2 linked regions of the Macaca mulatta genome follow. The protein of the gene in region 1 purifies or fractionates together with the protein of each later gene. This does not show direct contact. Links are inferred from orthologs where the notes say so. Each region holds a gene or a part of one and is shown on either strand. Other genes may lie near its edges. The genes, in order: ZNF462 and CBX5.

Evidence for each region.
Region 2: the proteins of ZNF462 (region 1) and CBX5 purify together in Homo sapiens (affinity purification with mass spectrometry; 3 studies listed by BioGRID and IntAct, counting the BioPlex papers as one, with this or other methods). This does not show direct contact. The link is inferred for Macaca mulatta from reciprocal best matches to the Homo sapiens genes ZNF462 and CBX5.

What each region holds. Positions count from the first base shown.
Region 1 is NC_133420.1:51,461,064-51,464,876, reverse strand, and holds part of ZNF462 (zinc finger protein 462), read left to right. Parts: coding exon 1-363; intron 364-1,129; coding exon 1,130-1,294; intron 1,295-1,452; coding exon 1,453-1,569; coding exon of another isoform or gene 1,570-1,593; exon of another isoform or gene 1,594-1,805; intron 1,806-2,549; exon of another isoform or gene 2,550-2,671; intron 2,672-2,866; coding exon of another isoform or gene 2,867-2,869; coding exon 2,870-3,153; intron 3,154-3,813. UniProt on the Homo sapiens protein: Zinc finger nuclear factor involved in transcription by regulating chromatin structure and organization. Involved in the pluripotency and differentiation of embryonic stem cells by regulating SOX2, POU5F1/OCT4, and NANOG.
Region 2 is NC_133416.1:61,432,317-61,436,129, reverse strand, and holds part of CBX5 (chromobox protein homolog 5), read left to right. Parts: intron 1-3,489; coding exon 3,490-3,590; intron 3,591-3,813. UniProt on the Homo sapiens protein: Component of heterochromatin that recognizes and binds histone H3 tails methylated at 'Lys-9' (H3K9me), leading to epigenetic repression. In contrast, it is excluded from chromatin when 'Tyr-41' of histone H3 is phosphorylated (H3Y41ph).

The sequences.
Region 1 (3,813 bases):
TTTGAGAAAGCCGAGGTGGAGGGTGAAGCTCAGGAAATCGAGTGGCTCCCGTTCCGCTGCATCAAATGCTTCAAGCTGTCCTTTAGCACTGCAGAGCTGCTGTGCATGCATTATACTGACCACCACAGTCGGGACCTAAAGAGGGACTTCATCATTCTGGGCAACGGCCCCCGCTTACAGAACTCCACCTACCAGTGTAAGCACTGTGATAGCAAACTGCAAAGCACAGCCGAGCTGACCTCACACTTGAACATTCACAATGAGGAATTCCAGAAGCGTGCCAAACGTCAGGAGAGGAGGAAACAGCTTTTGAGCAAGCAGAAATATGCAGATGGTGCTTTTGCAGATTTCAAACAAGAGAGGGTAAGGATATGTTTTGATTTCCCTTCCCCCAGGAGGCCTCTCATCACTGGTGCCCACATGCACTTCTTCGTTGCCAGCCAAACTGCTGCAGGCTTCCTAGTGACTTAGCTTGCCAGAGAGCTCAATAAGTCAATTAAACATTTCGAGCTTGATTATCTCCCATTCTGTGCTCATCCCTCTCCTTGGTCCCGTTCCCCTCCCTCCTTCCCTTTGACTCCTCCCATGGCTCCCCAGGGGAGGTTTGGGGTGGTTTCTATGTATGTCTTTCTGCCAAGTAGCTTTATCTGAAGCCTAGTTTTACAACAACGCTCGCTCTTTCCTAAGGCAGTGTGGGCTGTCTCTTGGTACCATTAGCACTTCTCAGCCATGTCTTGGTCTTCAGTGTTTGCTACACGAACCTAACGTCTCCAGGAGTAGATTTTATTTTATCAAGAAGTTCATTAATGGCGCAACTATGCAACGTTTCACCTGCCTAGTTGAAACTGGTTTGAAAACCAGATAACTTAGTGGCAGTGACAATGAGCTTCTGCACAGAAATCTTCTCTACTCACAAGCCGTAACATATTTGGGTTCCAAAGACTTTGCATAGTAGGCAGCGTGCCATGATGCTGACAAATTTGTTATATAAAAATACTCGCCTATATCTCCCTTGGTTTTTAACCTGATAATCGGCTTTAAAATAAAATATGTTAATAAACTGCAAGAATAAATTCCGACAATTGAGGGAGGGCTCGGAGTACTGATGGCTACCACTGTATTTTACCAGCCTTTTGGTCACTTAGAAGAGGTGCCAAAGATCAAGGAGAGGAAAGTGGTGGGCTACAAATGTAAATTCTGTGTGGAAGTGCACCCAACGCTCCGAGCCATCTGCAATCACCTCCGAAAGCACGTCCAGTATGGCAATGTCCCAGCTGTGTCAGCTGCCGTGAAGGTGAGAACTGGAAGGTCTGGATGAGCATTCTTGTGTGTGAGCGATTCGAGTTACTTACTAACCCCATTGCCTAAAGCAGCTCAGGAAAGAGCATCTCAGAATGTGGGCATTCCTGAATTATACTTGGATTGGTTTGGCTTGTTTTGATTTCTTTGCAGGTTGGACCTTCCTCATCTTTCTGTTCAGGGAAAGGTCGAGTTTCGATCTGGTTTCCTTCCACGTGGATAGTTTGGTGGCAACAGAAGGTCCAGGATTCTCGGTCTAGGAGGCTTCAGGTCGTCCTTCTCTTCTGCGTTTAGTGCCATTAGCTCTTCGTTCTTCCAAGTTGCCCGAGCTCTTGAGAGGAATCAAGTGGGTTCTGTTCCCATCGTCTTCTGCTCCTCTTTCTTCCTGACTTCTTACTGTTCTCATCTGGCTGAGGATGCAGAAAGCCTAGGAGAATCTCTTTGTCTTCTTATCCTGGATCCTCTGGGGACTGCAAAAGACATTAAAACTAAAAGCATTCAAGTCACAACTGACCCTGAAAGCCTTGGTTTGTCTCCTCCATCCCCTTTCCCATATGATGCTGACAAATGTCTTCCCTTTTCCCTCTAACTTTTATTAGGCCACCTGTTTTGAACATCATAATCCTAATAGCAGCCACCACGTCAGTAACTAAGCCACCATCCCCATCTTCCAGAATATTGCTCAGCCCTATTATTTATTAAAACAGAAGTCATTTCAGCATTCTGCCCTTTCTCTATGGGTACATGAAAATATATTTTTGTCATCTGCCCTTCTTGAGCTTACATCCTATTTTGCCAATTTAACATGAAGATAAAGTCTCTACTCTTCTTCATTGAAGACTGAAGCTTTCTGTCTTTTGGCAGAACAGTGGCAACCCAGGGATATCAGCAGTCAGCTTCTTTCACACACCACTGCGGTGTGTCCCAGGCTCGTTTCCTGGGATCACGTGAGAGAGACAGAAGGGCTTTTCCCGTGTAATCAGTAACCCAAGGAACTATCTCGAAAAACAGGTGACTTAAAACTAGGCTGCTCCTTAATTTTTTGAATGGATTATGCAGCAGTCTCCAGTCATAGAGTGAAGTCACCATCTACAGGGTAGGGGGCAGACAGCAGGATCTTTTGCTTTGCTTCCTTTCCAGATAATGGCCCAAGGCTCCTCAATGACCATACTACTTTGCTTTTCATTCTCTTCCTTTCTTCCTCTCTTTTCTGTGAGCCACAACCCTAGCCCAATTTTATGTCATCTTAGATGGGATTGCAGTTGGAATTTTCTTTTAAGAAGGGGAAGAAGTGAGTGAAGTGTCTTCAGAGCGGGAGAAGCCCTTGTTCACATTTCGCAAGCAGTAGCAACCTGTGTCCGGGTATGTTGTTCTAAAATCACCTCCACTGCGTGAGGAATGACAGTTGGGCTTGCTCTCCCTCTAAAGGTAGCTGGAGAGGCAGGGGAGGAAGCTTTGACAAGAAGTGCTGTTGAGTTTGGGAGAATGAAGGGAGAAAAAGCTGGGGGCAATGATGATGGATATTTATTTTGTTGGTGGGGCATGTGTGTGTGTGTGGTTCTCTTAGCAGGAGGCGGATGACCCTGCCCACTTGTTCCTGGATGGATTGGAAGCAGCCAAAGACGCCAGTGGCGCCCTGGTGGGCCGGGTGGATGGTGAACACTGCTTGCTTGATGGAATGTTGGAGGATGAAACCCGGCCGGGGGGATACCATTGCAGTCAATGTGACAGAGTCCTGATGTCCATGCAGGGGCTGCGTTCTCATGAGAGGAGCCACCTGGCCCTGGCCATGTTTACCCGCGAGGACAAGTACAGCTGCCAGTATTGCTCCTTTGTTTCTGCTTTCAGGCACAAGTAAGTGCTATTGGGGGGTCACTAGTGGTTACTGGGGGAAGATGTCATAGTGGAAGGCACTAAGCTAAAGCAGAAGCTTGAATGAGTAAGAAGGCCCCACTCATGGTTCACACCTCCTGCTCTGTTACCTGGAGCTCAGTCACCTTTTCTGTAAAATGGGCCTGAGAACAGGAGATTGATCGGATGGCATTAGATCTGGCAAATGCAGGCATTTTAAAAATGAGAATTGGAGGAATTGCTATGATTTACCCAAAGGAAAAATGCGGCTGTGGAGAGTAGATGAGTCTCCTGATTCATCTGTCGAACATTCAGTCAAAATCTAGTCATTGTTTGAGGAAGTAAAGTCCATTTGGAAAACTGATCTGCGAAAGAGGTAAAATTAGGACTGTTAACCCGTGTGACCAAAGAAACGTTGCTTGCAATTTTTCAAGAGACCTTGAAAGGTAAAGAAGTTCATGGATGCCAAAGAGTTGCTTGACATACAGGGAGATTGAGGGGAGGGAGCTTCCCATTACTCATCACAGCTTTGAAAGTGTAAATTTGGAACAAGTGTGTAAGGCTTTTTGGGGCCATGGAAAGAGGGGTGGTTTTAAGAACAACTTTTTGTTGCTTTTCTCTTTCAGCCATATAAAAGAGAGATAAATATTCAATAATGCATTT
Region 2 (3,813 bases), on another chromosome or scaffold:
TGGTGAAGGATGTATCATACACTTTACATTTAATAAAAGCATAAGTCTACTTCGGAATCTTCCAGCCTTCCAGAGTAGCAGCCACAATCATCCCTATTTATCTTCATTGTAATTAGATATATACCTTTCTAGAACATTAGTTCCTAACCCTGTCTACACATTATAATCACCTGGGGGGTACGTTGAAAAAATTTCTAGTGCCTAAGATGCACCCCAGACCAGTAAAATTAGAATTTTTTTTTTTTTTTTAAGACAGAGTCTTGCTTTGTCACCCAGCCTGGAGTGCAGTGGCACGATCTCACTGCAACCTCTGCCTCCTGGGTTCAAGCGATTCTCCTGCTTCAGCCTTCCTAGTAGCTGGGACTACAGGCACATGCCACCACACCTGGCTAATTTTTTGTATTTTTAGTACAGACAGGGTTTCACCATGTTAGCCAGAATGGTCTCAATCTCCTGACCTGGTGATCCAACTGCCTCGGCCTCCCAAAGTGCTGTGATTACAGGCGTGAGCCACCACGCCTGGCCTCTGTCATTTTTAAAAAGGAGCTGTCTGAATAATCTGGCTTAGAAGCACTGGCCAGTGCAGAGAGTTTTTGTTCTTAGGCCAGGTTCTGAAGCTGCCAACCTTGAAAACAACCCCCACATGTCCCTTACATCATAATGTTCATCTGGGGCCCCTGATAGCATTCTTAGCAGTACTGGCTGCTGTCAGGTAGACAGCTGAGATGATAGGTGATTGTATGTTTTAAAGGTACAGGAGGGGATTGTGTATCTTTTTTAAGACCCCTGGAGAAGAAATTTGTTAGTTTGCATTATGCCTGATTTAAGATTACTGCCTGTATGATGATTTTAGCATTTTCTTCGCCCCGGCTCCTTTTCAGCAACTTGAACATTTTTCTTCCATTTGCCTCCCCTTCCCTCCCTATGTAGCAAACTATTTTCAGTTGCCAGTTATGATTTACAACTTAGTCCATGTGCCAGCATTCCAGCTGTGAGCAGCTGTGTGAACATCTGGGAACTTCTTCCCCGTAAGCGCCCCTAAAAGAGGCTATGTTTTTAAAAGTCAGTATCTCTCATTGATCCATGCATGGAATTTCCTTCCAATTGTGGATTTTGGTATCTTTGGGGACCACCCGGACCCCAAATGCTTTGTATGTCTCAGAGGAAAGCAAGTGAACATAAGATCAAAGAGATTTTATTATGAAAATCAGGCAGTAGATATTTAGTTCATTTGGGCACCTCTAAATCTTTTTTTTGTGTTGTCACTGGAGAGGCTAACATTATCTTCCATAATAAAGTTTTTAAAAATTCTCTAGTTTAGGCCGGGTGTGGTGGCTCACACCTGTAATCCCAGCACTTTGGGAGGCTGAGGCATGTGGGTCACTTGAGGCCAGGAGTTCGAGACCAGTGTGGTCAACATGGTGAAACCATGTTGAAAATACAAAAATTAGTCAGGCGTAACTGGGTGTGATGGCTCCCGCCTGTAATCTCAGCACTTTTGGGAGGCCGAGGTGGGATGGATCACCTGAGGCCAGGAGTTTGAGACCAGCCTGGCCAACAAGGTGAGACCCCCATCTCTACTAAAAATGGAAAAATTAGCCAGGTGCAGTGGCATGCACCTGTAATCCCAACTACTCGGGAAGCTGAGGCAGGAGAATCACTTGAACCTGGCAGGCGGAGGCTGCAGTGAGCCGAGATTGCGCCACTGCACTTTAGCCTGGGCAACAGAGGGAGACTGTCTCAAAAAAAAAAAAAAAATTACCTGGCTTGTATAAAATTTTGCTTTTTGGCTCTCATCAGTATTATTACACCTGGATTAGAACCTGTGCTCCTTGTCTAGATTGTATTACTGCATTTAGACCAAGTTTCAGTACTCATCTCATCAATTATCAAATTTTCTTCTTTCTGTCTTAAGAGACAGGTTCTCACTATGTTGCCCACCATGGAGCACAGTGGCATGATCATAGCTCACTGCAGCCTCGAACTCCTGGGCCCTGGGCCTCAGCCTCCTGAGTTGGAGTAGCACACTTCAGGTGTGCACCACTGTGCCCAGCTAATTTACAGAGACAGTTGCCTATGCTGGTCTCCAACTTCCAGTCTCCTCCTGTCTCAGCCTCCCAAAGTGATGGGATTACAGGCATGAGTCACTGCACCAAGCCAGTTTTTTGTTTTTGTTTTCTTTTTTGTTTTTGTTTTCAATCACAGTCCAGTTCTGCCTTCTAATGCTAGCAATCATCTACATCCAGAGGGGATAGGCATTGACCCAGGGCCTTCTGTCCAACCAAGCATATAAGTATTGGTGTTTGTGATCTCTGAAATTTTGCTATTTAATAGTATTGGCCTTGCATAATTCTTATCTCTATTCTTTCATAAATATAGGCGACTGTGAAATGTGTTAAAATTATTGGTTAGTGTTAAGGTAAACTAAAAGTCTAAAAAAATAAAGATTGAGAGAGAGGTAGTATATTTGAAGTTCATAAGATGAAAAGATATAGTTAGGGTAAACAGGGTATTCTTTAACATTTCAGAAGCTTATTTACAATATTAAGGAGATTCCAAGTGAGTGGGATTAGAGGAATTCCTAGATGTTGACTCCAGAGTATCTTTTTTTTTTTTGAGACGGAGTCTTGCTGTGTTGCCTAGGCTGAAATTCTGTGGTGCGATCTCTGCTCACTGCAATCTCCGCATCCCAGGTTCAAGCAATTCTCCTGCCTTAGTCTCTCGAGTAATTGGGGTTACAGGCACCTGCCACCACGCCTGGCTATGTTTTTGTATTTTTAGTAGAGATGGGGTTTCACCGTGTTGGCCAGGCTGGTTTTGAACTCCTGAGCTTGTGATCCGCCCGCCTCGGCCTCCCAAAGTGCTGGGATTACAAGCGTGAGCCACCATGCCTGGCTGACTCCAGAATATCTTATAGGACATTAGAGACTTTTAGGGTTCACCTCCAATCTTCTGGAGGAATTCCAGGAAAGATAATCACATCTTTTTTTTTTTTGAGACGGAGTCTTGCTATGTCGCCCAGGCTGGAGTGCAGTGACCGGATCTCAGCTCACTGCAAGCTCCACCTCCCGGGTTCACACCATTCTCCTGCCTCAGCCTCCCGAGTAGCTGGGACTACAGGCGTCCGCCATCTCGCCCGGCTAGTTTTTTGTATTTTTTAGTAGAGACGGAGTTTCACTGTGTTAGCCAGGATGGTTTCGATCTCCTGACCTCGTGATCTGCCCGTCTCGGCCTCCCAAAGTGCTGGGATTACAGGCTTGAGCTACCGTGCCTGGCCGATAATCACATCTTACAAAAATATCTCTTGGCATCACTGTCACTTCATTGTCACTGTCAGTACTTAGTATTAAGTTCTAAAAATTTTTCTGAATTGGTGACAGAAATGATATCAGGAGATATTAACTTAGGTTGTGTTTTGTTGAGCCTAGAAACAGGGAGTTTCTTTACTCTTTCCACAAGCTGTAACCTTTCTTCGTCTTCTATTTATAGCAGAGCAATGATATCGCTCGGGGCTTTGAGAGAGGACTGGAACCAGAAAAGATCATTGGGGCAACAGATTCCTGTGGTGATTTAATGTTCCTAATGAAATGGTGAGAGAGATTTGGCTTCATGTTACAATTGTGTTTCTTTGCCAGTGACTTGAATTTGTGCGGAAGATAGGGTGGCAAGATTGTGTATTCCCAAACCATGAATTTTCAATGTCAGAGATTTTTTTTTTTTGAAACAGTGTTTCGCTCTTTGTTGCCCAGGCTGGAGTGCAGTGGCGCAATCTCACTCAGCTCACTGCAACCTCCGCCTCCCAGGTTCAAGTGA